4 linked regions of the Lonchura striata genome follow. The protein of the gene in region 1 binds, or shares a complex with, the protein of each later gene. Links are inferred from orthologs where the notes say so. Each region holds a gene or a part of one and is shown on either strand. Other genes may lie near its edges.

What was found.
Region 2: MED1 (region 1) and MED13 share a complex: the UniProt entries of both Homo sapiens proteins name them as parts of the mediator complex. The link is inferred for Lonchura striata from reciprocal best matches to the Homo sapiens genes MED1 and MED13.
Region 3: the proteins of MED1 (region 1) and PPARA are in contact, whole or in part, in a crystal structure (PDB 9IWM), measured with the Homo sapiens proteins. The link is inferred for Lonchura striata from reciprocal best matches to the Homo sapiens genes MED1 and PPARA. Residues at the interface, in NP_004765.2 of Homo sapiens: Asn638, Thr639, Asn641, His642, Pro643, Met644, Leu645, Met646, Leu648, Leu649, Lys650; in NP_001001928.1 of Homo sapiens: Val284, Thr285, Thr288, Glu289, Lys292, Phe297, Leu302, Asn303, Gln305, Val306, Thr307, Leu309, Lys310, Pro458, Leu459, Glu462, Ile463.
Region 4: MED1 (region 1) and MED7 share a complex: the UniProt entries of both Homo sapiens proteins name them as parts of the mediator complex. The link is inferred for Lonchura striata from reciprocal best matches to the Homo sapiens genes MED1 and MED7.

Annotation. Positions count from the first base shown.
Region 1 is NC_134627.1:7,131,677-7,139,374, reverse strand, and holds the start of MED1 (mediator of RNA polymerase II transcription subunit 1), read left to right. Parts: upstream 1-4,633; 5' UTR 4,634-5,001; coding exon 5,002-5,218; intron 5,219-6,639; coding exon 6,640-6,746; intron 6,747-7,698. Other genes in the region: CDK12 (cyclin-dependent kinase 12), read right to left, coding at 2,451-3,490. UniProt on the Homo sapiens protein: Component of the Mediator complex, a coactivator involved in the regulated transcription of nearly all RNA polymerase II-dependent genes.
Region 2 is NC_134622.1:9,291,152-9,298,835, reverse strand, and holds the start of MED13 (mediator of RNA polymerase II transcription subunit 13), read right to left. Parts: upstream 3,149-7,684; 5' UTR 3,026-3,148; coding exon 2,960-3,025; intron 1,147-2,959; coding exon 912-1,146; intron 1-911. UniProt on the Homo sapiens protein: Component of the Mediator complex, a coactivator involved in the regulated transcription of nearly all RNA polymerase II-dependent genes.
Region 3 is NC_134607.1:4,995,170-5,002,718, forward strand, and holds the start of PPARA (peroxisome proliferator-activated receptor alpha), read right to left. Parts: upstream 3,087-7,549; 5' UTR 3,038-3,086; intron 2,123-3,037; exon of another isoform or gene 1,959-2,122; 5' UTR 1,843-1,958; intron 1-1,842. UniProt on the Homo sapiens protein: Ligand-activated transcription factor. Key regulator of lipid metabolism. Activated by the endogenous ligand 1-palmitoyl-2-oleoyl-sn-glycerol-3-phosphocholine (16:0/18:1-GPC). Activated by oleylethanolamide, a naturally occurring lipid that regulates satiety.
Region 4 is NC_134617.1:4,517,021-4,524,242, forward strand, and holds MED7 (mediator of RNA polymerase II transcription subunit 7), read left to right. Parts: upstream 1-4,456; 5' UTR 4,457-4,511; intron 4,512-5,481; 5' UTR 5,482-5,499; coding exon 5,500-6,192; 3' UTR 6,193-6,446; downstream 6,447-7,222. UniProt on the Homo sapiens protein: Component of the Mediator complex, a coactivator involved in the regulated transcription of nearly all RNA polymerase II-dependent genes.

The sequences.
Region 1 (7,698 bases):
GTGAGCTCTGAACCACTCAGGTGAGCCCTGAGTCCCCCCCAGGTGAGCTCTGAGCCACTCAGGTGAGCCCTGAGCCACTCAGGTGAGCTCTGAGCTCCTCAGGTCAGCCCTGAGCCCCCCCCCAGGTGAGCCCTGAGCCACTCAGGTGAGCTCTGAGCCCCCCCCAGGTGAGCTCTGAGCCACTCAGGTGAGCCCTGAGCCACTCAGGTGAGCCCTGAGCCACTCAGGTGAGCCCTGAGCTTCCCCAGCTTCCAGGTGAGCCCTGAGCCACCCAGGTGAGCTCTGAGCCCCCCCAGGTGAGCTCTGAACCACTCAGGTGAGCCCTGAGCCACTCAGGTGAGCCCTGAGCCCCCCCCAGGTGAGCCCTGAGCCACTCAAGTGAGCTCTGAACCACTCAGGTGAGCCCTCCTCTGTCTCCTGGACACACCTGACCAAGAGCTCCCCCCACTACAGTCTCACCTCTCATCCTGGGAGCTCCACAAAGCAAAGCTACCACATGAATTACAACTCACACTTCACCTGACACACGGAAAACAGGTGAAATTCCCTCTGTCCCTTTGCTACAGTCACTGCAGGCAGGTGTTTTCCAAAGGGGCTGGAATACCTCACACAGTCAGTGAGTTATCTGCCCAGGAAAGAGAGAGGAGTAAGTTATCAAGCCAGAGAGTTGGGTACAAGCTGAATGTAAACAGTGAGCAACCTTTGGAACTCATCTGGTTTGGGGTCCAGCATTTAAGTCGGAGATGTCCTTAGAAAGTTGCTCTGAAAGTTTAGGGAAGCAGCACAAAGTGCTCTGAAGTTGCTCCCATAAATCAGGGAAATGGAACTGCTGGAATTCTCTACTCTGAATTCTCTACTCAGCCACTTACACAGAGAGGTTCTCCTGGGGAGAAAACTCTTAGGATTGCTCTGCAGCTCCCAGTGGCTTCTCCCTGCTCAGGGCTGGACATTTCCTCAGCGCCACAACTCCGAGTTGTATCAGTGAACTGACACCTTGCACCTTCCTCACCCTTCCAAAGGGTGAGCAAATAACGTGTCAGAGTAGCACCACCAGGCAAAAAGGACTGAAGGGAAGGAGCAGAAAACTACCCAGGCCTATCCCTGAGAACCTCCCAGGTGTACACAGAGAAAACAGGCCAGAGGAGGAGCAGCCTGGAGGAAATTTTCACTGTAAAAATCACAGTGGAATACAGAGATTTTACGTCAGAGCTTCCAGGGGGGTTGAAACCAAGACAGAACTGCCAGCAAGGACAAAGGCGAGCTCTCCATGGAAGACAGCACTCCTGAAGTTCAGAGCTGCAGTAACAAAGACCAAATTCCAAAAGCCCCGTGTGCTTTGGGAACTGCTGAGCTGCAGGATGCAGCACAGCAACCAGGGAGCAGAGCATTCCTATGGCCATTGCATTCCAGGTCACATCTGAATTGCCATGGAGCTCCAAGCAAAGCTCCACAGCATCCATGGAGACAACTGGAAACTCACTGAACGTTAAGCCAGGGCTAGAGAAAGAAAAGATCAACATTAGACTATGTCACAGGATGATTAATGAACACCTGAAATAAAACGCACAGAGCTACCTTGAAATAATTGTTTCCTTCTGGAGCAAAGTTACTGAGTAAAAGGGGAGAGAAAATTAGAGATAAGCCAAAATCCAGCTGGTTGCTCCTCGCCCTTCCAGCCTGCCCACATTTCAGAAGGGAAGAAACTCTAGTGCTGAGAAAAGAAAGTTTAGGCTGAGAGATGGAGTTTGCACGTGGCTGCCTCTAATCCAAGGGGAAAGAAAAGACAAACCAGTTCAGGAAGAGCAAAATCCACCCCAAACGAGCCCTCCTGAAAAGCAGGATCACGCTCCCACACGCAGTAAACAGATAAAGGCTTCCAGAAATAGGTGAAAACATTCCCCGTGGCTGAAGTTCCCAGCAGGTAAGCGCCTTAGATCCTGCTCCGGGAGCCTCCCCACGAAGGGGCCACTCCAGAGGTGGGTGTAACTTAATCCCAGCAGCTCCTCCAGCCTCCCTCCCTGCCCGCAGCCAACATGGACGCTGCCTCCCGCCAGGCACAGAGGCGGTTCCCAAAGTGTCAGCCCCATTTCCAAAGGGAACGGTCAAAGCTCCCAGCCAAAGCCAACTCCACACACGGCACTGGGCAGCAATGGGGAGGAATCACGGAATCACGGAGTGGTTTGGGTTGGAAAACGCCCTGAAGAGCATCCCATGGGTAGGAACACCTTCCTCTAGCCCAGCTTGCTCCAAGCCCTATCCAACCTTGGACAACACCATGGATGGAGCATCCACAACTTCCTCAGGCAAGCGCAGCAGGGAACAATTTTTTCCCCAATATCCCACCTTAAACCCACCCTCCATCAACCTGAACCCATCCCCCCCTGTATCCCATCACTCCAAACTCTCCCGAACTCCCTCCCAGCTCCCGGGGCGAGGCGGGGCACACGCACCTGGCGATGGGGCTGCGGCTGACGGAGCGCTTGGAGGCGAAGGGGCTGCTGGAGCGGCGGCGCCCGTAGGGGCTCGGGGACCTCCCGCTGTAGGAGCCGCTGCCCCGCTCGTAGCTGGACGAGCGCCTCCGGCCGTAGGGGCTCACGGATCGCTGCCGCCGGCTGTAAGGGCTGGGCGAGCGGGCGTTGGACTGGTAACCCACGGGCTCCTTGTAGGGCGGGCTGAGGGATTGGCGGCGTGAGGATCCGCCGGGGCTTTTCCTGTAGGGATCGTAGGTGCTGGAGGTGTGCGAGCGGGGCGGGCTGAGGTCGTATTCCTGCACGTAGGAAGCTCCCGAAGGGCTGTCGTCCAGTTTTGGGCTGTCCGACCATTTCCTGTGAGGGCTCCTGGATTTCCTCTTGGGGCTGTCGATGGTTTTGTAACTTTTGGGAGCATCCCTTTTGCGATGGCTTTTGCTGCGCTCTTTGTGGCTGGACTTGAGCTCCCGCTCCTTCCTGGATTTCTCCTTGTGCGCCTTGGCCGAGCGCGATTCCTTGTTGCTGCTCTTGGAGGAGGAGAGCGCCTTGGGGTGCTCCTCGCTCTCCAGGAGCCTCTTGGAGGATCCCGAGATCCTCTCCTTGGCGGACCTGCTGGAAGCATCCAGGCTCTTTTCCAACTTCCTGTCCTTCTCCGCCTGTTTGCTCTTCATCAGCTCCCGGAGCCGCTTGTGCTGGTGGTGCCGGTGCTTCTGGGCCCTCTCGCTCCTCTCCGCCCTCCTCTCGTCGTTGTCCCTCCTGTCCAGCTTGAGGCCCACATCGTCCGAGAAGGTGTCCGAGTCCGAGCTGATGTCATCGTACTCCACCAGCGGCTTGATCACCGCTCCCAGGGGCGCCGCCGCTTCCTGGGCCGCCAGCGGGGACTCCTTGGAGTGCCTGGACTTGTGCCTCTTGTGCCTGGAGCCCGCCCGGTGCCTCTCCTTGCTGTTGGAGCCGCCGCCGCCCGGCTGCGAGCACGCCCCGCCGCCGTCCTTCTTGCCCCCATGCCTCTCCGGGTTTGGCATTCCTCCCCCGCTGCGCTCGGGAACGGCGAGGGGCGGACTCGGCGGAAACCCCCAACTTCAAACTCCCTCCGCGCCCGCCCCTCGCACCATCCACGCCGGCCTCGCTGCTCCCTCCTCACACGGGGAGCGGGGCCCGAGCCCCGGAGGCGGCGGGAGGGACGGGCCGGGGCGGGGGGGGGGGAAGGAGCCGGGAGGGGAGGGGGAAGCGCCGCGGCCTCACCGCCTCATCCGAGGGGGGCCCAGGCCCGGCGGGCAGCGCGGCCGCCCCGGGAAGGCGGGGCCCGGAGCGCTGCCCGCGGCCTCAGCGGCGGTGGCGGGGCCTGGGCGCGGATCCCCGGCCGAAGGGGCCCCGGAGCCGCCGCCGCCCCCGGCGCGGCCCCCGCGCTCTGCCCGAACCGGAGCGGCGCCGTCCGGGGGGCGCCGCCAACTCTCGCGAGACCCGCCCGCAACTCTCGCGACAACTCCGCCGCCGCCACCCCTCCCTCCTTCCCTCCCCGGCGAGTCCTCCTCGTCCGCGAGTCCTCTCGGGGGATGGGCGGGGCCCGCGCGCTCGTCCTCTCGCGAGAGCCGCCAAATCGCGCGGCGGCTCCTTCCCAGCGAACTTTAATCGGGGCGCGGGGCGGGGACAGCGCCCCCTAGCGCCCGGCCCGCAACAAAGCTCCCATGGCGGCGGCGCCGCCGCTTCCGCCCCGCCCTTTCCCGCCGCTCTCCCGCTCCGCCGCGCCGCGCCCTAAAGCCGCCGGCGGGTGGCTGCCGAGCCCTCCCCGGCGCACCGCCGGCTAACGAGCGGTTAATGCTCCGTTAGGGGCTGCGGAGCGGCCGCCGCGCTTCCAGGGCGCTGAGGGGGCGGGGCGCGCTGGCCGCCGAGCCCCGCCCCGCTCCCGCGGAGTCTCGCGAGAGCGCGGGAGCGCGGCCGCGGGCGCAGCGATGGCGGCGGCCGCCGCCGTGTGAGGGCGAGGGCGGCCCGGCCGCCGCCGCCGCTCCCGCTCCCTCTCCGCTCCCTCTCTCCAGTCCAGACCAGCCCCGCGTTTGCAATATGAAGGCCGCGCCCGGCAGCGCCGAGGGTGAGTGCGGCGCGAGGGGCGCGGGGGTTCCCGGTTCTCCGTGAGGGAAGGAGGGCGGCCCGGCGGATCCGAGGCTCCGCATTCGGGTTGAGGTTGAGGTGGCGGCCCGGAAAGTGAAACGGGCGAGGGTCACAAAGGTGGTTTGAGGTGTGGGGAGTCTCTGTGCGGAGGTGGAGGGAGCTGGGCCTGGTTGCTGTGGAGGAGAGGAGGATGAGGATGCTATCAGTCCGGGCAGATATCGCTAGGGGCTGTCAGAGCCCTGTTCAGACTCTGCTCAGCGGCAGGACGAGGAGAAACGGCCGGAAAATAAAACACAGCAAGTTCCACCTCGGCATGACGAAGAGCTTCTTTCCAGGAGGGTGTCCAGGGAGGGTGAGTGGTCTCTGGGCACATTCCAGGTGACCCTGCCTGGCTGGGTGATCTGCAGAGATCCCTTCCAGCTCTCTCATGGGATTCTGGACAACTCAGTGTTGGTTGAGGAGGGGCTTGGACCAGGTGAGCTGCAGGGGTCCCTTCCCACCTGCAGCATCCTGTGTTGATGCAGCTGAGAGGTGTAAAGTGCCTGAAAACAAATCCCGGAGTAGCTGGGGTTGGAAGGGACCCCTGGAGATGATCCAGTTCAACCCCTCTGCCAAGGCAGGGTCAGCTGGAGCAGGGGACACAGGTGGGTTTGCAATGTGTGCAGAGCAGGAGGCTCCAGAACACCCAGCATTCATTCATTCCTTCCTTACACTTGGGTTTGGAGGGCTCAATGTGAGGTCTGTGGGCTAGCAGAGCATCAATCAGGAGCCCAAACTGTGGAATTTTGGCAGGTGGAAGTCACAGGCTCCTGTGAGGTGACACTAAAATGTCATGTCTGCACTGGACCCTCTGGGGCTGGGGACAGGGTTTATTCTGGAATGACGTCCACTGGGATGGTTTTTTTGACGTGAAAGTATGAAAAGCTCTGTCTCTTGGCAATAAAACACTGGATTTCAGTGTTCATGAGAACCATGTTCTCTTTATCACTCATCCACTGCTTCATCCCCCCCAGCACATGGAGCAGCACAAGGGGACAGCAGCCCTCAGCTTGGAGCTGATTGTGGAGCCATGGGATGTCCTGAGCTGGAAGGGACCCCCAGGACCATCAAAGCCCAGCTCCCATCCCTGCACAGGCACCCCAAAAATCCCACCCTGTCTCTGAGAGCAATGTCCAAACATTCCTGGGGCTCTGGGCTCTACAGGAATCATCAACCCAATTCCTGGCCCTGCACAGGCACCCCAAAAATCCCACCCTGTCTCTGAGAGTGATATCCAAACATTCCTGGAGCTCTGGCAGCCTCGGGGCTGTGCCCATTCCCTGGGGAGCTGTTCCAGTGCCTGAGCACCCTCTGGGAGGGGATAAAAATTCCCAAAATCCAGGAATCATCAGTCCAACTCCTGGCCCTGCACAGGCACCCCAAAAATCCCTGAGAGCGTTGTCCAAACCCTCCTGGAGCTCTTGGGGCTGTGCCCATTCCCAGGGGAACTGTTCCACTGCCTGAGCACCCTCTGAGGGGGGGAAAAAACTTCCCAAAATCCAACCTGAACCCCCCTGGCACAGCTCCAGCCGCTTCCCCATGTCCTGCTGTGGGGCAGGAACGTGTCTGAGCACAGAATTTGGCAGAACTGGCAGCTGGAATGACTTGGCTGAGGTTTTTGATGGTGGAAGGTGTTGAGGACCTTTCAAGAAGTTGGGGGAGAGAGACCAGAGAGGGGATCCAGGACACAAAACCCACCTCACTGCTTTAACCCCGTGTTTCCCACAGCCTCAGTTTCTGGGGATCCTCTCCTGACAGAACTGAACCTGCTGAGGCCACATCACTCAGGGATGGTGCAGAACAGGAGCTGAGCATTTTCCAGGAAAATCCATAAGATTTTCACAGTCCTTTAGTTTTAACAGCCTGGGAGATTCCGTAACACTTAACCTCACCTCAAGCTCTGGGGTTAAACCAGCAGTTAGCAAATTCTTTGAAGTCATTTTCAGCTTAAAGGTGGAAAGTTTTGTGTTGTTTAAGTGGTTTGCAGAACTTACCAAAGTTGGCTCACTGTGTTCCTGTGTGACAGAGGCAGAGAAGCTGAACAAGATGAGCTCCCTCCTGGAGAGGCTCCACGCCAAGTACAGCCAGAACCGGCCCTGGACAGAAACCATCAAGTTGGTCAGACAGGTCATGGTGAGCATTGCTGGGCTCTGAGCTGCAGCTCCTCTGCTGAAGGATTTCTCTTGGGTTTTTAGACCTTTTCCAGGTGTTTTTTGTTGTGTCCATGTGTCATGGTTTGATGCTGGTATCCCCGTGAAAATGCAGCTTCTTAATTGGATGCTGTGAAATGTGATTGAGAATAAAGCAGGCGAAGCTTAATAACAAAAAGGAAAAAAAAGCTTTATTAAGCTACTACTGCTATATTAGTATAAAAGAAAAAAAAGAAAAGCACACATAAAATTTGAAATTAAAACCTTTCAAAACATTCCTCTTCTTACTATCTAACTTTAATAAACTACAGTGACACACATTTGGACTCTTAATGAAGTATTTACCTTTTAATATATAATCAATACTGAGTCTAAGAGGGGACAGAGGAGTCTCCCTTGCACTACAGACCCCCAGGAAACACAGCTGCCACCTCTTGTGTTTCTGTGTCACACGTGGCACTGCCTGGAGAGAATCTGCCAGTGTGACACTCCTCTTTTTGTCACTGTGCTCTCACCACCGTGCATGGACAGAGACTGCTCATTGGGCTCCTTTGAGGATGCTTTGCCAAGGACCAAGAGGAACAACAGTCTAGTGTTTAATTTTGGGGCTACAGTCCCCCCCATTTTCCTCTAGAGCCTTTAACCCCTCTATATTAAGAGCATGTCTACTTTCAGTTGGTTATTCTAAGTGTCAATATTTACACCTGACCCCTGACTACATCAACTTCTTCCTGCTGAAAAGATTCTTTTTCTCATGTCAAACCACAGCACTGTGGCTTCACTCTCTCCTGAGTGGTGCAGGGGAGGGAGGGATGTCCAAACCTGCCCAGCCTGATGTGCCTTTCCGTTCCCTAATTAGTGTTCAGTGCCAGGGAAAGAGTAAAACCTATATTTCCTGCTATTTACCCTTCCAGGATATTGTTTTGTGGAACAGT
Region 2 (7,684 bases), on another chromosome or scaffold:
ACAAGCAGCATTAACAATTTCTGGTTACCAGGTCACCAAACCTTGGTCTCATTTTACACTTCAGTAATCTGAATACTGTACATTATTTGAAAGGAAATCAGAGTGATGCGTTTGTTGGGTGTTTTTTTCCCCTCAAATGAGTTCAGTCTCACCTTTAGACTCACCCAATTTAAATATCTAACTTCGTCACCTTGCTGATAAGCAGCTGGAAACCATCTACGTGGGGAATCGAGCTCAACAAGCAAACAGTTCCAAAGGAAGGTGCCAAATTTGAAGTACAACATTGTTGAGAAATACAAATATTGTCAGTCTTTCAAAGGGCTGGGTTTGAAAGCAGGTTCAGGGCACCAGGAAAAGGGGGGGAGAGGAATCACAAAAACTGAAGGTTTACAGATTTTGCATGGGAATAGCTGGTTAGTTCCTGGTGCCTCCTTCTGAGGGCTTCTCACTGATGGTGTGAATTCCAACCAAAACAACTCCAAACAGTTCAAGAGCTGCCCAGATCTCTACACTTCTTATTACATAATGAGTTTTACTATTTGAATTTAAAAATTCTAATTGCCCAACAAAAGGGATCTTATCAAAACATGTTTAAGACATCACTTGTGAATCACAGGCACAGCTTTCAGCACAGCTTTCTCATGAAGAAGCTGCCAAAACTCATAGGCTTGTGTTTTGGTTTTTTTTTTTCCAAGGGAACAAGTGGGGAGCAAAACCCTTGTTTCTTGAAAATCCAGCAGTCCAAGGTGAGCTGAACACAGAGCAGATGGTTGATCATTGCTGTAATAATTTGGTGAGGGTTACAGCAATATATTTCTATTTTCTGGAGACAACACTCGACTTGGTGCAGGTGTCAGAAGCCAGCCCTGAGTACTTCCAGTGACCAAAGGATGGTGTGAGCAAGCTCCTACCTGAGAGGTCATGATGGATCAGGTCAGCAAAGTTGGGGTCATCCCCCCACCAGAATATCCAGAGCTCCCTGCGCCCAGGCCTCTGGTCCCGGCGCCAGACGCTGAGCACGTCGGCCTTGAGGCAGCGGCTGAAGCTGCTGAGGATGGGATCCTCCTCCGTCACCGGGAACAGGATGGGGGCAGACGTTGGGCCCTGCCACACGTAGCGCTTCCATTTAATCCCAGTCAGATCAGCCTGGAGAGAGGAAAGAACTGTCAGGGCTCAGGCAGCTCCAGCGAGCACATCCTGCTTCGAGGTGATGGCACGGGGAGAAAGGGATCCCTCAGAATTGAAACACGTTGGTTAGTTTTGTGTGCCTTAGGAGGTACATTGGGAACAATCGGGGATCCTGCTTTAATAGCTCATTAAATAACTGCAGTAAAGCAAGAGTTGTTTGTTTGCACTGCAGCTTTAAGGTTACACAGAGAAAAATCAGATTTGATTTAAAGTAAAGAGTGAAAGACGAGTGAGTAATGTTATTATTCACAGACTGACACAGTCCAATCTCCTAAACACTTGCCTTAGCAAAGAACATCTTTGGCTTTCTTTACTTGTGCATACACTGCCTTTTCCATCCAAGATTACTCCATGGAAATAGGTGATACAGTAAATCACACATTCTTCCAGCCATCTACCACTTGGGAAAATTTCACAAGTTTCTCCATGGTAAAAAATTCTGTCTTTCCCTCGGGAAGTCTCTCGTGTTCACTGATTTTACCAAGAGCTATCATACTTTTCATTCCTCACACCACATTTCAAGGATTTAAATCCTCGTTAGACCTGCAAGCACGTTGATAATGATCCACTAAACCCCTTCCTAGGCAATAATTAATTTGACTTTACACAGGGCAAGAGTTACTACTCTGTGTAATGGGAAGCAGACAATTCCTGGATTATCTCCACCACAACACCAAGTTTTAGCTCTCAGTTTTGTCACTCAAGCACCTTAAGGCAGGTAGGGGAGGCATTGCCCCGGGTTCTCTTTGGGAAGGCAGAGCAAGGCAGGCTGGCATTTGCTAAGTTACTATTTTTTGTCTTCCCAATATGACAACACACAAAAGATTACTGCAACATTTAAACCTAACATGGCAGCCTCCCTACCTTCAGCAGGAGAGCAATTTGGATGAAAGGTTGTCTGCAACAGTTGCTACTTGAGAAAGACTTTCAGATTTAAAATTGTACTATTAATCTGGAGCTGCAGGCCTGGTGCAGGCTGCAGACATAGTCAGGCCGTCCAGATTCCCCTCCATCCAAAAATACGAGTGCCACAGATTGGCACAGGATTGTTGTAACAATCTCTGGAATCATAAATATCAGTCAGACAGCTAAGATTAGCTCATTTGCATTAAAAGCTGATGAAACAGCTCAGCACAGACACCAAAAAATTGCATCACAGTCCAGTTATATCGAATTTACTTTTGGAGCTACCAAAATTCAACAATATGAACGATGTGCTACTTGGCTTAAAAAAAGACTACAAAATGGTGCACATCAAAACACAAGACAGGCAGGGCATCACCAAAAGCAACCCTCCAGAATAAAAGCAAGCAGGGAAAGGGATCCGTTTAAAAGCGAGGAATACGGGAGGTTTCGCCTGGGATGTCACGAGCGAGGAGGGAAAAGAGAAAGTTCCCCGAGATGTGGGGCCGGGAGGAGAGGCAGCAGCAGCTCCCTTCCCTTGTGAGAAAAGGCTCAGAGGCAGGGATAGAGGGGAGAAAGGAGGAAAAGTTGGAAGGCACGGAAAGGGAAGGAAAAGGCGAGTTGCGGGGAGGCTACTATCCAGGAAGAAAGCGGAGGGAGGGGCGAGGCGAGACAGACAGCGATGGAGGGGAACCAGAGGGGCATGGGAGAGTTGGCTGCTCCAGGCAGGGCCTACTCCGAGGGCTCATCCAGCAGAAGCTCTGCTAAAAATGGCTGCTTTGCTTCCACTGCCCCTTCCCCCTCCCCAGAGCTCCCAGCCCTTCCCTCGGTGGCCCCGGGCGAGTGTGCGCCGGGGGCCGACACTCACCAGGCAGAAGAGGTTGGAATGGCAATCCTCCAGGCTGGCCCCGTTCGGCACGAAGCAGGAACTCATCCTCACAGCCACAACCCACACGCCATTATCCCACAGCCTCCGACAAGAAAGAAAGAGACAGACAGAGAGGGAGAGAGGGAGAGAGAGGGAGAGAGGGAGAGACAGACAGCGAGAGGGAAAGGGGGAGGGGGGCTCTGCACACGCACAAATAATAATACAATTAAATAAGGGATTTACAGACACACGCACGCGAAATAGTGGCAGGGGGAATAACCCGCGAGGAGAGACAGAGAGGTATAGGAGAGGGGGGTAAAAATATATTTAAAAAAATAAAATTAAAAAAAAAAATTAAAGAGGAACTCAGAACGTTTTTTCGTCTTCTGGAGCTCAATCGGGGGTGTAAAGCCGCCGTGGAAGGGGAGAACAGAAAGAGGGAGGTGGTAAGTAATCCAACGACGGGAGATTAAGATCAAAATCCTCCCTGTTCCTCTTGTCTTCTCGTTCGCATAAGGAGGGGAGGGAGAGGAGGTAAGGTGAAGGGGTAATTGATCCAACAAGAGAATAAAAATGGGGTAATTAATCCAGGGGGCTAGGGGTAAAAATCAGTTGACATCCCTCCTTCCTCTCTTCTCGGATGCCAAGCAAGAGAAGCAGGAAAAATAAATAATCCAGCGGGGGCAATTAATCCAGAACCCCCCCTCCTCTTCCTCCTGTTCCTTTAGTCATCAGATGAGAAAGGGGCAAATTGTGGAATGACTGGGAAGGATTGGCCGTGGGAGAGAGAAAAATCCAGGCTCGTCTCTTCGGAGTCCGAGGGCAACAGGGTGTGGGGGGGTCAGATTCTTCTCCCCTGCTCCAAAAATATTCCAAATAAATTAAAATTTAAAATCATAAAAACAAACTTCAGGGGCCAGAAGCAAGGCCAGTCTGAAGAATTCGTAAAGGCAGAGCAAGAAAAATTTCCTGGGGTGTACCCCAAAAAAACATCTGCGGGGGCAGGGGAGGGGGGAAGGTATTCCTTGAGAGAGAAAGGCCGCAAAAGTCTCCTTAGCAGCCCAGCGGGGGATTAAATTCCCGTGTGGAAACCCCCCCTCCCCAAAACGAAATACTCCTCGCAGCGAGGGCGAAACCAAAATATCCTCCGCTGGGTAAAAATTCCTTCCGTGGGGAGAAGGAGGGAGGGGAGAAGGGTGGAAGGAGGAAATTGCGGGTGACCCTCGAAGTCTCTTCGGGGAAGGATGGAGGAGTCTCCGGGAGGCCGATCCCCAGCCTTTTCGGGGGAGGAGGAGGCGGAAAATCGCAGAGTGTCTTCGGGGAGCCTGGTCCTCCCCAGCTGTCCTCGGGGGCTTCGGGGGGACCCCGCAAAGTCTCTTCGGGGAGCCCGGACCGCGCCGAGTCACGGCGGGGAGGGGGCAGCGACCCCCGCCAGACCCCCGGCCGCGGGGGGGGCGAGGCGGGACCGGCTCGGCTGCGAGGCCGGTCCTTTAAAAATAAAGGGGGAAAAAATAAAAACAAACAAAAAAAAAAACCAAAAAAAAACCCCAACAAAACAGCGGGAAAAAAAAAAAAAAAAAAAAAAAGGCGGGGTGGGGGGTTGGAATATAAAAAACGATCGTCTTCGGCCGGTGTGTCCTGGGGGGCGGGGGAGCCCCGAGAGCGCTCGCTGCCCTCAGGTGCGGGTCCCCGCGGGGGCGGAGGGCGGAGGGCGCCCTCGCCGAGGCTCCCCGAGGCTCCCGGGCAGGGCGGGCAGGCGGCGGCCGAGCCCCGGGCTCTGCTCAGCCCCGAGGGGTCGGAGCCCCGCAATTCCCGGCGCCGCCGACACACAGGCGGCCGCTGCTGCCGCTGGCGGAGTCGGTGCCGCCAAGCCCCCGCCGGCGCGTCGGCTCCCCTCAGCGGTGCCTCTGTCGGCGGCTGCCCGGCCGCGGCATCCTGTGGCGGCGGGAGCCTCAGCGCGGGTCCCCCATGGCCGGAGCGGGCGCGGATCCGGCTCCCGGCTAATTCCGAGACCCTTTTTCTTTAATGGCGGCCGCAGGGACGGCGGTCGGGGCCCCCCTGCCGCGCTCCCATTGGCCGCCGCGCCGTCACGTGGGCGCGCACCGCCATGGCCGCCGGCGCCGCTGGGGGAAGGCGGGTGCGGCGGCGGCGCGCGGCCGCCAGGGGCGTGCGGGGCGCTGCGGAGCCCCCGCCTTGCTCGTTGGGGCGGCGCCATCTAGCGGCCGCGGGCGGCGGCGGCGGCGCGGGTTCGAGTCCCGCTCCCGCCGGGCCCGCGGCTCCCGGGCCGCCGGGAAGGGGCAGCCCAGAGCACAGGAGCATGGCTGGGACACTGGCACCAGTCCTTGGACGCTTCTTCACCTTCTTCCTCTCGTTCAGACATCGGTTCCTGCCCGTTGTGCCATGTCCTGGCAGCACGGGGCAGAGCCTGGCGCGTCTTTTGGCACCCCCAGTTCGATAGTTACACACCCCTAAGGCCCCTTATCCCTGCCGGGGCTCCTGTCCGTTCCTGGGGCTGATCCCGGTTTGGCCCGTGAGGGTTGGACTCAGCAGTCCCGGTGGATATCCCGGGATTCGGAGCCCAGCCCAGGGCACGTCCGGTCAGCCTGGGCCAAAGTCCGGGCACAGAGTGTCCCCCAGCACAGGAACACTCGCCTTGGCTCCCCTTCCTCAGCTTCCACCTCTTGGCAGAGGATTCCCCAGATCTGCACCACGGAGCAAATTCCAAACTGAGGCCGTTGGAGCCTTTTTGAAAAGATAGGCAAGAATTGTGAAAGCTGATTTTAATATTTAATGCAAGTGTTAATGCTCTCACTAGTTCCACAGACAGCCTCTCTGCCAAAGCAGAGCCCTACTCCAAAACCCATTTTTTTCCATGCCCAGATCCATATTATGCAGTTCAAGAGGATGAAGTAGGTGGCTTCTCTGTTACTACATGCACAGATTTGCAGAAGGACTGTGAGATTATTCAGAATTAAGATGCTACAGTGACAGTGAAAGCTATTTTTAAGAGATGTTTGGAAAGTGTATACATCTTACTAATCCTCTCATATTACACATTAATTTTCTAGGCAATGCCTTGCATGTAAAATGGAAAATTTTAAATTACTATATGCAGAATTTTTACTGCAGTGTTCAAGCGAAAACACAAACCAGTGTAAAGCAGCTAAAGTCAAAGAAAGCCCCGAATGTCTCAGCTAACCTGACATTCACATTAAAATATGATATGTTCATGCAACAGCAGCACGTTGATCACAACTATGCAACACGATGATGTTTCAAAGGCCCTGCAAATTATTTCAGGACTCCTGAACAAGACGAGCGACAACCTTCTGCAAATGTCTTGATAGAGTAGGAGGAAAGAAGGACACTCTATAAATAAACTTATCATATAAGTTAAAAAAAAAAAAAAAAAGTGAGGCTAGATATATTCGCCAAGAGAAACTTTGAAGATTTACTCACACTGAGCCTATTTTTGTATGCCAGTGTAGGCAAGCAAGATTCTTCTTTTCATCTAAATAGAAGCAGAGTATTTTTAAACGCAGGAGATTCATTCCCTCAGTGCTCATCGAAACACGGCAGCTGGGGCCGGAGCCGGGATGCGGGGGGAGGGCTCCGGGGGGAAGCAAACCCCTTTCCAAAGGGAACAGATGGTTTTCCCTGGGCTGGCTGCAGCCCAGGGCTGCGAGGAGCATTCCTGGGTGCCCGGGGCCAGCCCGAGCCCCTCGGGAGTCCCAGCGGCACCGTGATGTCCCTGCGGGAGAGGTTCTCAAGTCACTCTTCCCCACGGAGAAATCCAGGGGGATGGAGGACATCGGGGAAAGCGGCATTAAGCACGTGGGAGATGGTATGGGTGTAGCACTAAGAGGAAAAATAAATCATTTGGTAAAAGGGGTTTGGTAGATTTAGATATCCAGGATAATGGTTCTTGCAAGTCTGAATTGATTCCAGGATCATTTTCCCATTTCTTGTCCCTCAAACAGCACAGCTCAGTGTCTGGAAGAGAGGATTAGTGTCTAACACTGGCTTTGGTGTGGCTGCACCTCCCAGTTTTGAGCACCTCAGCTCATTTCTCCACATAATGCATTTTGGGATCTGGTTCATCAGTCCTGGCACATTCATCATAATAAACCCTTCTGTAGGATCCCAGCACAAGTGCAGAACATCATTTATCCAGTAAACCTAAACACAGGATAAGGAGCTGATAAAATATCTACAAAAGAAGGAAGAAACCTAAGACATCAACTGGGGAATTTTGAACTCAAACCCTTCCTGGCTCAGAACCTTGAAGCTTTCCCAGTCCCATGCACAGGACCTGAGAACACCAAGACACAATGGAGAATAATCCCATCCATGGCAGGTGAATTCTGCACCTGAAACACTGCTTGCCCTTGGTACTCTTTGGGAAATAAAGCCTCCTGGAAAACAGAGAGGAGGCAGATTAAAAAAAGAATTGAGAAAAAAAAAATGCTGTTGAAAATGTGCTTTGTTTTGTAGATAGGTTCTTATAGAGTTCTCATCTCTGCAACTTCCAGAAGTGCATTAAGCTGCATAATTAGCATCTGTCACATGAAGCTTTTTCCTTCCCTCTTCCTCTCCCTAGAGGGAACCTGCATAAAGAAATTTTAATATAAATTTTAGTATCTACTCTGCGCAGTGCAATCATATTAGGAAAGCTACAGGCAAGGCAGTTTGTGCTCAGACTAAGGTTTATCTTTGTGTAATAGA
Region 3 (7,549 bases), on another chromosome or scaffold:
ACACAGCCCCATGAGATGTCTTTGCAATTGATCTTTATTTTGAGGATTTACATCTCAAAGGTAGAGATTTTGGTTTTATATACTTTATAAGGCCTGTATATATATAAATAAGCATACATAGCTAAAACATATCAGGCAAATTAGAGATGCAGAGAGATTTTGAAAAACTGGATTAAAAAAAAAAGTTTAAATTCCAAAGTTATGTACAAAAATATGCTTGTGCATTTAATAAATACTAGTTCAGCTTCATTTATTTTCCAGGATAAGTATGGTGTTCTCTGTTTTTTCCCTTGCAAAAATATGACATGTGCAATAGAAGCAGAACTTAGAACCCAAATCTCATCAAGAAAGCTATATAAAAGTAAGGACAAGAATAGAGTTGTTTGCAATTCTGAAGTACAAGCTGCTTCTGAAAAAATAATAAGAAAATTATGTTTCCTTGCCTGCTTTGGGACAACAGTGAGCATTATAATACATTCTTTAGAACAAGATAAATATCTCAGGCCATATATCCTACTCTCCTGTAGGACATTATTGTCCCTTATATTCTTATAACATTCTGCACGTGAACTATTACAAGCATAACAACACAAAATCACAACTGAAGCCTAACTCTCTCCATGGTTTAAATTTCATAATACCCTTTATGAAGACTACTACTATTAACAGAAAATGAGGACACTAAAGAACTACTGAAAAGCAAATTACAAACCCACCAGGTGTTTCCAATAAGTAGCCAAAACACCATATGCACCTGACTGTAGAGGATGACAGTCAATGTAAGGCACCAACAGCTTGCTAAGAATGTTTTTTGGACCATACTAAGAGTTCCTTCCCAACATGGGAAAAGACAGCAAGCATGCTCTTTGGGGAGTTCCACAAATCTCCCATAAGCTCTGCATACTCTCATCCTTCCAATACACTACATTGTATTACTTGAAATTCCCAAAGTTGCCACTCAAAGTCACCAGGAGCTGATGGCTGCTCCGTAGCTCATGCCAGCCAACAAAAGTTATGATACTGGTTCAGGTTTAGCAGACGTGTGACCACATCACATGAACCACAAGTGCCTCAGTTCCAGCACGAGACCAGGTAGCAGCCTCAATGCTAAGTCAATGATTCAGGATTAACAAAGGAAATAGTTTTTACAGCTGATCCATTTTGCTGCCTGCAAAGCAAATTTTAATAGGTGAGCAGTGCCAGATGCCAATGAGAAAGTCTGTGCATATTCTGTAATGCAAGGAGTTTGACCACGATTTTCCTTCACAACAAAACTTATGCAACACCTTTATTAGTGCAGTACTACTAAGACACCCAATGCTAAAAGTGCCAAACATAATCATTCCAGATAATCCTGTGTGACGAATCCTGCGCTCATACTACTTCCATCAGAGAGCTTAGGAACAGCTTCCTGTATCATTGAGTGAGACTGGGTCAATCTTAATATGAATACAAGGCAACACCTTTTCACACTCCTTTCCTTTGTTACTGCTGGAATGCTTTTTGAAAAGCAAGTATCCAGCCCCACAGGGACAACCAAGAACGCGGCAAACCACAGAATAAGGCCCGGAGGCGTTCCTGACCTGCTCCTGGTTTCAGGCCAGAGGACCCTCCTGTGAGCAGCCGCCCGGGAAAAGCACAACCCGCCCGACTGAGCCGGGCCAACAGCGGGAACCCCCAAGCACGCACTTTCTGCCCAGTGCCCGAGCTCGTTCCGGGATAAGGGCAACCCAGCTGTTCCATTTAGGAGACACGACAGTCGCCAACCAGCCCCTCGCACTGCCCCCTTCTCTGTTCCCACCTCCAGCGCCCCGAACTCCCGCTCCCCGTGCGGCTCCTTACCTGCGCCGGGCCGGCTCTGCCCGTCCTGCAGCTCCTCGGCCCCGTTCCCGCAGCCGCTACAGCATCTCCCCGGGCCGGCTACCTCCTCCTGCCGCCCGCCGCCGCTCCGCCGAGGGCTTCGCACCGCGGGGCCGGGAGAGGAGTAACAGCGAATAGCACGGGAGGGGAGGAGAAGAAAGGACAGGTCATTAGCAAAGCCGCCGCCGCGCTAGCGAGCTGGGGGCGTCACCCAATGCCGGGCGAGCGCTCCCGCCTCCTGCCGCCGCCCCGGCCGGGACACGGGCGCGGCGCGGGTAGAGGCCGCCCCTAAGGCAGTACCGTGCATCGCTGCCACGCGCTGCGCGGGGCGGGGCGGGCCGCGGCCCGGCTGCCGGCGGGGAAGGAGCGGCGGCGGGGAGGGAGCGGGAGAGGGGCGGAGCGGCGGTGACAGGGCCCGGAAGTGAGGTCGGCACACACCTCCCGCCGCGGCCGTGCGCCATTGGCGGGGCGGGGGCGGCCCCGTTCCCCTCGCACCCCTCAGTGCCCGCACACCCCTCAGTGCCCGCACACCCCTCAGAGCCCTCACACCTTTCAGTGCCCGCACACTCCTCAGTGCCCGCACACCCCTCAGTGCCCGCACAACCCTCAGTGCCCTCACATCCTTCAGTGCCCGCACAACCCTCAGTGCCCTCACATCCTTCAGTGCCCGCACACCCTTCAGTGCCCTCACACCCCTCAGTGCCCGCACACCCCTCAGTGCCCGCACACCGCTCAGTGCCCTCACGCACCTCAGTGCCCGCACACCGCTCAGTGCCCGCACACCCCTCAGAGCCCTCACACCCTTCAGTGCCCGCACACTCCTCAGTGCCCTCACATCCTTCAGTGCCCTCACGCCCCTCAGTGCCCTCACGCCCCTCAGAGCCCTCACAAGCCTCAGTGCCCGCACACCCCTCACACCCCTCACTGCCCTCACGCACCTCATTTCCTTCGCCCTTTTCATTTGCCCTCACACCTCTCATTGCCTTCACTCCATTCACTGCCCTCACACCCTCACTGCCCTCACACTCCTCATTGCCCTCACTCCCTTCACACCCCTCACTGCCGACATTGCCCTCACATCCCCCTACTTCAAACTCCTCCTTGCCTTCACTGCCTTCATACTCTTCAGACCCCTCACAGCCCCGGCCCAAGCTCCCTCCGAGCCCCCGCTGTGTACCGGGGGACGGGGCTGAGGGGCCGAGCCCCGGGACGCCGGGCCGGCCGCTCGAAGCCCCGCGGCCGGAGGGCGGCCCCGCTGCGGGCCCGGCAGCGCCGCCGGCCTGAGGGACGGCCGTGGCCGCGCCCGTCCACCGCTCCGCGAAACACTTCTCAGAATATGTAAGTGCGTGCTTGCCTTCACGTTTGCGTTCCGTGTGGGGAAGAAAGAAACCCAACCAACCAACTAACCAGTCAAAACCAAAATTTAATCAGGAACCTCACTTAATTAGTGAGTTGAGCAGTCAATGACACAGTACCGGGATGATAAAACAGGACTCACTTCAGAGGTTTCCAGTGGGAAGTTAAATGAGGTCTAGAAAGGGAAGAGAGCACTGTTTTGGGGTTTGGTCCATAGCACAGTGAGCACTACACTTAATTCCATAAATTTATCATAAATTTGGGGTTAGCACATGGCCCTGGACACCAGAGCACTCAGTGCAGAAACAACAGTGACTGTGGAGGCTGAAAAGCCCCGAGGCATGGCTCAGGACCAGCCAGCAAAAGGCAATACTGACCATGGAAAAAAGAAGATAACTAAAAGCCCTATATTGATTTAAAGTATTTCAAAGTGTTTCAAACTAGCTCTGGTCACTGTTTAACTTCTCAACCACCAGAGCTGTTCCATGGTCTGTCCCAAGCTGGGCCAACACCCTATGCCACAAGAATCAGTTGATTTAGCAGGTTAATACCCAGGTTTAACACCTACATATTTCATCACAGGTGAGGTGACATGATGCAAGTGCTGCAGTACAATTTTCTAGAGTAAGATGTTGGAATGGATGCAGGCTTTTGCCTGGGGAATATGCACGTTTTGAAGGATTTGCCACAGTTGCCAGTGAGGGACATGCCAGGCTGACTCAGCTTTTTATCCACACCTCATCTTGTCCTGACTCACACACAAGTGCTGTCCCAAAGGCAGTAAAACACAAAATATTTATTGGAATTCAAAATGAGTTGTGGGTTGTTTCCTGTTTATGAACTGTGGGCTCCTCAGCCTACACCAAACATGTAGCAAGTTCCGTCTGCAGCAAGGAGGGCTGTGTTACTCCAGGCATGGAGGAGAGTGCTCTTAACCCCTGTTCTGGAAGTGATTCTTCTAAAGAACTTGGAAACATTTTGTCCATGAAAATGACTGGTGTTGCAGAAAGTGGCAAAGGAGGAGAATCCATGTCACACTTTAAATATTTGCACAGTAGACTGCAGTAAACCATTCTGTACTGAAAGAGCTTTTAAAGTGTAGATTATCGAAAATTACTGGATCGTGTAAATTTGTATCACAGTTTAAATCTTAATACCATACTAAATATAAAAATCCATTAGTTATTTAAATGTGCAAGTTTTTAGAAATCAGAAGTTAGATGATTTACTAGGTTTTTAGCTGTAATAACCTTCAATTAATTTTATATTCTGTTAATGTGCAATAACCTTTTTACAATTGCCTAACAGTTTGACAGTTGTGGAAGACGCAGCCACATTTGTGCAGTTGTTGATTTTCCATCTTTCCAGTAGCCAGCTGGCTTTGTCAGACGCCTGCACAGCCACACACAGCATTTCTAACAGAAAACATTTTCATTTGCAAAAGAGAAATGCCTTTTCATTTATTTAAAGGCCAGATATGGAGTCTCTCATAACAATTCTGTGGGAGCAGATGAGCAGCTCCAAGTCAGCACAGACTCATTCAGAAGTTTGGGAGGACAGACCATAGCAGGGAGAATTGGCAGTGCCTTTGCCTCCTCCTCCAGCTACTGGCAGAATGCAGGAAGTGGGCTGGCCCTGAGCTCAAATATTTGCTGTGGTTTCTCTCGCTGATTTGATGATAGAGATTTTAACAGACAATGGGCCTTGTTTTTGCTGGGTCATCGTGAAATACTTCCACTACAAAGTCGATAGAGCCATAGAGCCTTCCCATTTGAGTATTTATTTGAAGTGGGAACTGCAGAGACCCGGTACTGCAGCCAGCACTTTATCAGCTGAAATAGCATACACAGGGTTCTGTTTCTCTATGACTGCCTACTGAAGCCTTATAGAACTAACATGTACTAATGGAAAATTAATTACATTAATCTTTGAATCATTCTTATTAAAAGAATAGAAGAGGCTGGACAATCACAAAGCAACAAGTTTTATGAGCAGAGGTCACTAGCAGAAGTCCAGAAAACTGTCAAAGTGTAATTTGATTCTTTTTCTGTATAACTTTGTGCATGCTGGATCCTGCCCCTTTGTGCTTGGTCAAAATATGTCAAAGCCAAAAGCCCCATGTAATAATGAAGAGGAGAGGATTAAATCTGATTTATTTAATATACACAGTATGCAAATAATTGCTAAAAGCACAGTTCTCTCTCATTAAATCAAACCCCTTAAAAAACCCCAAACAACAGTCAAGAAAACTGGTGAAGCAGAGGAGACCATTGAGATGTATCCACCCTGAGCTTTCCTTATGAAGCTCTCTCCCAGCATAGCAGTCTGGGTACAGAAATATCTGTGCTGCTTTGTTTTGCTGTTGGTTTTAGGTCAGGCTGGATTTGAGGGCTGGTTGTTTTTAGATGCATGTCTCTCTCCTGGATTAGAACAAAGCTCTAAGGCTAAAGGTGATAAATGAAAACATTTAGATAAGTCACATGAGGCTCATTTACCTCATTTTCCTATGACAGGTTATGGATGGAAGCAGGATGCAACTTACAGGTTTACACAAGCCTACTGTTCCACAAAACTATTTAGACATTCGATGTTTAAAAAAAGCTGAGATTATATTTCCCAACAAAATAAGCAATGAAGCTGTTACTTACATTTAATTTCTGTTAGAGATGCTTACCATGCCACCCCATCTATATAAGGTATAGCCTTGGTCATTCAGATAATTTCTTTTCATGTTTGAAAGTTACTTTGCTCATTTCACTTACTGAAACAATTCATAACTTGTCAGAGCATCAAGATCAAACATTGCAGGTGTCCATAAATCTCTTCCTGTGTGAAAAAGACTTCAGAACAGTTGCATGTAAGATCATGGTGCTTTAAACTTATTAACTCTTCTTAAGCCAAAATGTTTAGAACTCCTTTCATTACTCTTTATGCTGGTACTGTCATTGTTGCTGTGGGTTTTCACTACATGATTGCCAGTCAGGTTGAGAATGGATGATTTTTTTTTTTTTTTTAATGTTTACCCTCTCATCATTATTACAACCAGTGTGTTTAATTTCTTTGTTTTAATAAAAAAAAAAGCTCTTTAAAGAAAACTATTAGCAGAACAAGCACCTTTCTTACAGTAAAGCAGGATGTCCCAAATCTTTCTTCTGAGGGAGAGCCCATGCTGGATGGGGAGGAAGCAGACTGACTTGAAAACACCTTATGGCAATAAACAATTACTCTTAAAACTCAGCTGTGGCTATTCTTTCCCAAATTTGCCCTCCTTCTCATCTGAATGATTTCTTTCTCCAGTGTAATATTCCTTTTCTATACATTTATTTTTGTGCTGGATACTGCATTACCAGATTCAGCAGGTTTGCCAGGTTTATTTGTGTGTTTTGTTTTTGATCTTTGGGGACTGCTAGAAATCACTTAAGCTTAATATAATAAACATATACATTTTTAGAAAACATATCACTGCTTGGTATCTTGAACTGGGACGAATTTTTGTTATTATCCTTTTGGGGTGGATTGCTCCTTCCTTTCTTTGATGAATGTGGTGCTTGCCATAGTGTGACTGAGGGAACAGGTTTCCTCCTTTTTTTTGGCAGGTTTTTCCCTATTATCCTTGGAAATAAATGTACTCTTAATTTAGTTGTTTAATTCATTTTAATTTACTTACCCCTGTATTTCCAGTCATTTGAACTGAATACTATTTGAATGTTTCCTGTTCCAAATAAAGAGTTTCTTTCTGATCCAGGTTTCCCACTTGCTCCTACTTTTGTTTTGTTGGCTCAGTGAAGCCTTTGTTACCCCTTTTCCCCAATCTCAGTTTCCTAGTTGGTGTTTTATCCATGTCACTGAGCTTCTCTTCTTGAGCAATATACTTAAAATCTGTCCCTGTTGTCGCCCCCATAGCTGTGATTCAAATCTTACTCACGAGTGGCTATTGCAACACATCTTTTGGTGCTCATTCTCTCCCGTCTCCAGCTAAAGCTAACTTTCACTGTCCCCTCTCAAATCTCTTTTCTATTTACGTCAACTCTGTACCCCCTTTGATGTCTGCTTCCAATTCCCAAATCTTCTTTCCCGTAACTTCTGGTGCAATCTCTACTGTCCTTTACCAAGCCTGCAGGAAACCGGCTCCTTCCCTGCACAGCCTGTCCATGAGCATGACACAGCACAACAAAGAAGCAAGACAGAATGTTCAGTGGATTGTGTTTCTTAATACAGTTATTAGCAATTTCTACTTGGTTTTCTTTTTAATCTGTCCTCCTATGCACCTCTGCAGTGTGTATTTATTCCCTGGCATGCCTTGATCAGCTTATGCTGTCACTGGTCAATTTTC
Region 4 (7,222 bases), on another chromosome or scaffold:
CCCTCACACTGCTCCCAGTGACCCAGGGAGTTGTAGAAGCAGAGCAAGATCCTCCTGTGAACTGTTTGGGAGCCCTGAGAAATGGGATGCCTTGTTCTGAGCATCTGCTGGGAGGATGTAGTGAATTATCCATCATTCGTGAAGTGAATTATTCCCAGTATTGGCAGTAATATAGAGCACGTGTTTTATACTGGAGAAGCTGCACAGGGTTAGGTCCCTTCTTCTGTGATAAAGGGACAATTAATCCTTTCCTCAGCTGTTCTCTCTTAGGCAAAAATGCAGAAAGGAAAAACTCGTTTCATGGGAGCCATAGCCAAACTGGGATTTTGTTCCAGCTCCTTTTATTAGTGCCTGGCTATCATGGTTCCTGTCTGTTTCTGTCTCCCTCTGAAGACAAAGGTGGGACTTGCATTGCTGGCAAAACTTGCTGCAGATCCCAGGGTTTGCCCTGGCAATACAACACATTTGCTGTACCCAGGTCACTGTTTGCTGGACAGGAATTACTTCTTTGTGCCATGCAGATGCATTTTTTAAAGACATGTTAATTTACTTGTTTACATGTTTGTTTTAAAGACATGTTCATTTACATGTTTGAATAAACAGTTACAACAGGCATGTGAGCAAGAAAACACCCAGCATTAATGTCTGGCTCAAAAATCAGGTTGGGGGGCTGCTTCCTGAGACAATACTATGACTATGAACATAGGAAGGAGTGCTGGGTGATTCCATCAAAACATGCCTGGATTTTGAGCCCTATCAGTTTCCTAATTGTAGTGAGATACCTGGTTTATTGCTAAATAACCATGAAAGCTCTGTTTTGAGCTTTGAATCTGTTTGATAACAGGCCATAGAGCAAGAAACAGTTTAGCTGTCATGCACTGCTCTGTGTTGTGCCCCAGTTTTCACATGATGGGAACATTAAACTCCTACTTCAGCAGGCGTGCCAATAGGCTGCAGCTGATATTTTAGTCTGAGGAGTCAGGAAGAAAAGGTTGCACAGTACTGCACTGCAAATTCATTCACTCCCAAAGCCACAGCGGGAGGCAGGGAGATGGGAATTAACCACAGCAGATGGAGACATAAAGCTTGGTTAAGTCTCCTTCACCCCCAACAGGCTCCTTTTCTCTTGCCCTCCTCCCTGGTTTATCCTGCAACAAAGCCTGTAACAATCACCAAAAAAGGAAATTCCTGAGCTCATTGCTTAACCAGGCTACAAGATCTAACCCTAACCTACGCCCAAGAAGAGACTGGAACCGAGTTTGACTTTGGCGTTGTTTTTCAGACAACATGAGAAAAACACACACACATCTATTTATCTATTTATTTATTATTTAGAGTGCAATAGCAGCAAGAAATGAAAGAAATCTGTTGTAGCACAGAAGAGAGAAGCACTGTTCTAAGAGCATGCCTGAAAGTGGGGTTTATATTTACTGTGCTTGTACAATGTTTGGATTCCAGTTCTGCTAAAATAACAGCATACTGCAATGGCACACACTGTACACACTGCTGCTGAATTAACAGAAATGGAGTGCTTGCTACTGAAACATGCCAATTTGCATAAAATTAGTTATGAAGAAAATGAAAATAAACTTAACCAAAGCTATAAATTAAGATATTGAGTCTTTGAGGCAGAGAATATCATGGTACTTTTTCACCATCTGTTGAAGGGGTGTCGAAGTTCATTCCCACAAGCTGGAGATGATGTAGGAATTGTGCTTCATTACCAGTGCTAGGCTTGTACTGGATAGTGCCCTTATTTCAGAAAAGAGCTGGACTGGAGCAAGAAGCAAATTGCAGAGTGCTACACTTGAGATTCCCCGTCATTCTTAATTTCTCATTTAGAAGCACTGTAAGGAGAAGTGTCAGCTGCTCCCCGTGGGCTGGAAAGGGTCATCCATGGGTCTTCTGAGAAGCAGCCCTGCCACCAAGAGCAAGACTCATCGATGTTATATTCCCTCTGTCTTGGCCACCATCATACAGAAAATGCGTCAAGATCACAGAGATCGAGGGAAAAACAAGAGCATGGCTCTCTCTGCCTGCTCCTGTTTGAAGTCACAGCATTTTACATCCTTGCTGCATGGTTCACTGAGTGCAAGGCACTAGAGAATCAAGCTCAGCTCCTGTAAAAAGAATGTGAAATCAAAGTCTGGAAAGTCCAATGAAACCAAGGATGTGTTGGTACCTCCTACTACATGTGTTATCTCATGCATCTCTGGAGGCAATGATTTTTATTCCTTATCTTTCTTTCAGAGTATGATGTAACAAGATGATTTGAGACAAGATAAGAGATTTCTGTCACAGAAATGGAGAGGACAATTCCCCACCCCATGTTCCCAGCCTCCTCCTTTCCTTCTGCCTATGCACAGTCCCCTCTCAAAACCTCTCCCTGATGTTCACAGGGTACACAGCACAGCATGTTAATTCATTAGAAAAGCTGAAAACTTTACAAAAAAAAACCCTGCAGTAATGTTTTATGGGTTTGGAGCTGCATCAGTTTGCTTTGCAATCCAGTGCCTGATGGTGGTGGCACAAGCAATGACAAGAAAAGGGTGCACAGCCAGTGAGGGGCTGGAGGAGCAGGGAGGGAAGAAAGAAGAGAGGGAAGAAAGAAGCAGGAATAGAAGTGAAGGAATGAGATCACCTTTTCCAAAGGAAAAACGTTTTAGTTGCAGCATGGAACTGCATCCTTGTCTGAATTCAGCAAATTGCTTACAAATGAAAACAAATCAGCGTATTTTTCAGCCAGGCTTTTACTCACTGTAAAGTGCAGTTCAGTTTGGAATATTTAAATATTCAACTCATTGTAAATTGTAAAGTGTAGCTTAATTTGCAATATATAAATATTCAGATATTCAGTACATCGTTTCAGGCTTTCTCATCAAATAAGTATAACGATTCTGGATCTTCTTTGCATGTTTTTAGGAATAATTAGCAGGATCCAAAGTAATTATCATTCAACTGAATTTTTTTTAGTAAAGAATCGATCTGGAAGAGTGAATCTGTAAGTGACACTGCGTGTGCGGTGATGGGTCCCTAACACCCAGGCCATTGCTGCCATCTGCTGAGGGAGAGAGAACGGCACAGAAACGGCCAAGTATCGAAAAAACCTTCCTTGCTGGCCATTTCAGGGAGAAAATCCCGCAGAAGCGATGCCAGCAAGCCCAGCTCCACCTGACCCGGTGAAAAACTTACATCCACCATGTTAACTTCAACTCCTCCTGGAAGAAAACGGAAAGAAAAGCAACGGAGCCCAACTGTTTGTCAGTTATGGTCAGATTTAGCGTTTTCTGCTGCCGGATGGCTGCAAACACTTCCCAGGGGGACCTCGGAGGTATTTTCCAACCGGATTGGTTCTGTGATTCCTGTGATTGTTCCGTAATGCTGTTGTCTCCCAGCAGCGGGGCCGCCCTGACGAGCGCTGTCCCCGCTGTCCCAGCTCCCGGGGCCGCCGGGCTGGTCCCTCCTGCCCCGGCGCTCCCGCTGCCTCACAGCGGCTGGTGGCGAGGGAGCCCGCTCCTGGGGCACGGGACACCGAGGGGAACAACGCCGAGGGACACAGGACACCGAGGGACACAGGACACCGAGGGACACAGGACACTGAGGGGAACAGGACACTGAGGGACACAGGACACTGAGGGGCACAGGACACTGAGGGGAACAGAACGCCGAGGGACACAGGACACTGAGGGATACAGGACACTGAGGGGCACAGAACGCTGAGGGGAACAGGACACTGAGGGGCACAGGACACCGAGGGGAACAGAACCTCTGAGGGGCACAGAACACTGAGGGGAACAGAACGCTGAGGAGCACAGAACGCTGAGGGGCACAGAACGCTGAGGGATACAGGACACTGAGGGGCACAGGACACCGAGGGACACAGGACACTGAGGGGAACAGGACACTGAGGGGCACAGGACACTGAGGGGAACAGGACACTGAGGGACACAGGACACCGAGGGGAAGAGAACGCCGAGGGGCACAGGACACTGAGGGGAACAGGACACTGAGGGGAACAGAACGCCGAGGGGCACAGGACACTGAGGGGAATAGGACACTGAGGGGAACAGAACGCCGAGGGGCACAGGACACTGAGGGACACAGGACACCGAGGGGCACAGGACACTGAGGAGCACAGGACACTGAGGGGTCACAGAACGCTGAGGGGTCACAGATCGCTGAGTGGTCACAGACCGCTAAGAGACCACAGACTGCTGAAGGGTCACAGAGCGCTGGGGAGGGTCACGGACCGCTGAGGGGGTCACAGACCTCTGAAAGGTACCCACCGCCCCAGGATGGGGCAACCCCCACCCCGCCATACCGGGAACCACGCCCCGCGCCTGGCCCCGCCCCCGAGCGAGCTGAGTGGAGGAGCGCCTGACTGCTCTGCGTCACAGCCAATCAGAGCGCGGCACCGCGAGGCCGCCAACCAATAGGGAGAGAGAGGAGAGGGCGGCCGGGCGGAAGCGGCTGCGGCGGCGCTGAGGGAGCGCGGCGGGCGGAGCGGGCAGGTGAGGGCGGGAGGGCCGGTGCGGCCTCCGCGGGGTCCGTGCGGCCTCCGCGGGGTCCGTGCGGCCTCCGAGGGGCCCGTGAGGCCTCCGAGGGGTCCGTGCCCTCCGAGGGGCCCGTGCCCTCCGCCGGGCCGTGGCTCCGGCTCTTGTTTCTTCAGCACTGACTTGGCGAGCCCCGCCGCGGGGTTTGGGCCTCCCCAAACTCCCTCCTCCGCAGGGCAGGGCGGCGGGTGTGGGCCCTGCCTGGTTTCTCTCGTGGGCGCGGGTGAAGAGGGGAGGCCGCACGAGGAGCGGCTGAGGTCACTCGGTCTGGCCAGCCCGGAGAAGGGCAGACTGAGGGGGGATCTCACCGCGGGCTGCAGCTTCCCCCCGAGGGGCAGCGCCTATCTTTGCCCTCTGAGGCCAGTGACAGGGCCCGAGGGAGCGGCTGGAGATGTGCCGGGAGAGGGTTACGTGGATATTAGGAAAAGGTTTTTCCTCCAGAAGGTAGTTGGGCACCGAACAGGTTGCCCAGGCTCTCCTTGGTCACAGCCCCAGGCCTAAAATACTTCAAGAAGCCTTTGGGAAATGCTGTCAGCCATGGGGGAGATTTTTGGGGTGTCCTGTGCAGGGCTTTTGCAGATCCTTGTGTATTACTTCCAGCTTGGGATATTCGGTGATTCTGGGGGGTTTGCCCACCAGGACCCATCTAGGGAAGGGGGTCACCCTTCTCCCTTTGGCTGCCTAGTTTACAGGCTGCTCTTTCATATTTAGAGAAATGAGTGTTTTGTGTGCTTCTAGTACTTGGTATAAGTAAATCTTAGTGAAAAGATAACGTGGATTTGCCAGGAGTTTCCTGTATTCTGCAAATGGATTTGTCTCTTCTTGCTCATTTTCTTACTGCCATCTCCCATATTTTGTCTTTTCTTACATTTATATTATAAACTTGTGACACAAATTGTTAACATTTGTTTCTTGGGTCATTCCCTAGAAATTTCATCTGGCAAAAATGGGTGAACCTCAGCAAGTGAGTGCCCTTCCTCCGCCTCCAATGCAATATATCAAAGAATACACTGATGAAAACATCCGTAAAGGCCTGGCTCCAAAGCCACCTCCTCCTGTGAAGGACAGCTACATGATGTTTGGCAACCAGTTCCAGTGTGATGATCTGATCATCCGGCCCCTGGAGAGCCAGGGGATCGAACGGCTGCATCCTATGCAGTTTGATCACAAGAAGGAGTTAAGGAAACTTAACATGTCTATCCTGGTCAACTTCCTGGACCTCTTGGACATCTTGATAAGGAGTCCAGGGAGTATAAAGCGAGAGGAGAAACTGGAAGACTTGAAACTGCTTTTTGTCCACGTGCATCACCTTATAAATGAGTACCGGCCTCACCAGGCCAGGGAGACGCTGAGGGTCATGATGGAGGTGCAGAAACGGCAGCGCCTGGAGACGGCCGAGCGCTTCCAGAAGCACCTGGAGCGAGTGGTGGAGATGATCCAGAACTGCCTGGCTTCCCTGCCCGATGATCTGCCTCACACAGAGGGGGGACTGAGAGTCAGCGTGGAGCCCATGGACACTGACGATGGCAGCAGCTGTGCTGGACAGAGCGAAAAACAGAGGGAGCGTTCTGGTGGCAAGAGAGATCAGGTTTTGGACAAAGATGCAGCAATGTGCAGCATTATTGATGAGATGACATGAAGCAAACAGCTGGTTTTGTTAATGCACCGCAGTGAGAGACAGAAGGGGTTCTGAGGATGCATTTTGTATTTTGTTTTGCTGTTGTACAAGCAGAAAGAGCAATTGTTGTGCACCTGTTGGAGGTTGTGGGTGACTGGGCAGATGAAAATGTTTAAAGTTTTGTGGTTTTTTGGTAAAAAATAAAAAGTCTAATTTTTGTTAAATGTAGCATGTGAGGTCGTAGGCACAGATTAAAGTTGGCTTTTCCTGTTGTACTTTCATTGTTTTGGGTATGCCATTCTATAATTCTTTATGCTGAGTCAAGAAGAAATTCCTACAAAAATGGTGTTTGTTTTTTGCACAAACAACACACAGGAACTTGGAAAACAGGCAGACAGAAACTCTGATTACACGAAAGCAATCCTTATGGTCTGTGTTTGAGGTGAAATCTAAAGCAAGTGGGTTAACTGGTGTCCTGTAGCTCTCACATCCTTTTATTGTGTGACCTGAATGGCTTTCCTGGGATCCTGGCAGAGACAGCCTGCCCTGCCTTTCCCATTTTTGCAGAGCAGTTTCAGGATCCTCCTGGTAATTATCAGAATTGTTCCTCTAGCAGCTGTCTGCAGTTTCCTCAGAAACCAGAGGAGCTGAGAGGAATCCTTTTCTTAAGGAGTTCTACTTCCAGCTGCTGCATGCAAAAATCACCTTCATCCGTCTATCACTTCTTTCCTACAAGTGTATTGCTAGTTTGTCTCTCAGACATTAATCCCTTGGTTTTCCTGATTTTCCCTTAAAACTGCTGTCAGTTTGGTGCCTCTCTTCTCCTATAAGGCAGTCATGCAAGGCAAGGTTCCAATTCTAACATCTTCCACTTGCTCATAAATAGCTCCTTAGTACTTCATTTCACTGTGAAGTAGTTTAGCTGCTTCAGCAAAGAGCATTTCTTGGCCCTTGATCACAGGTGCAGTTCTAGCCCAAACAGTATAAAAAGACATCCTTGAGGATAGTGTCACAGGGAGAATGGCCAGGAAACAGCATTTCTCAAAAGCTG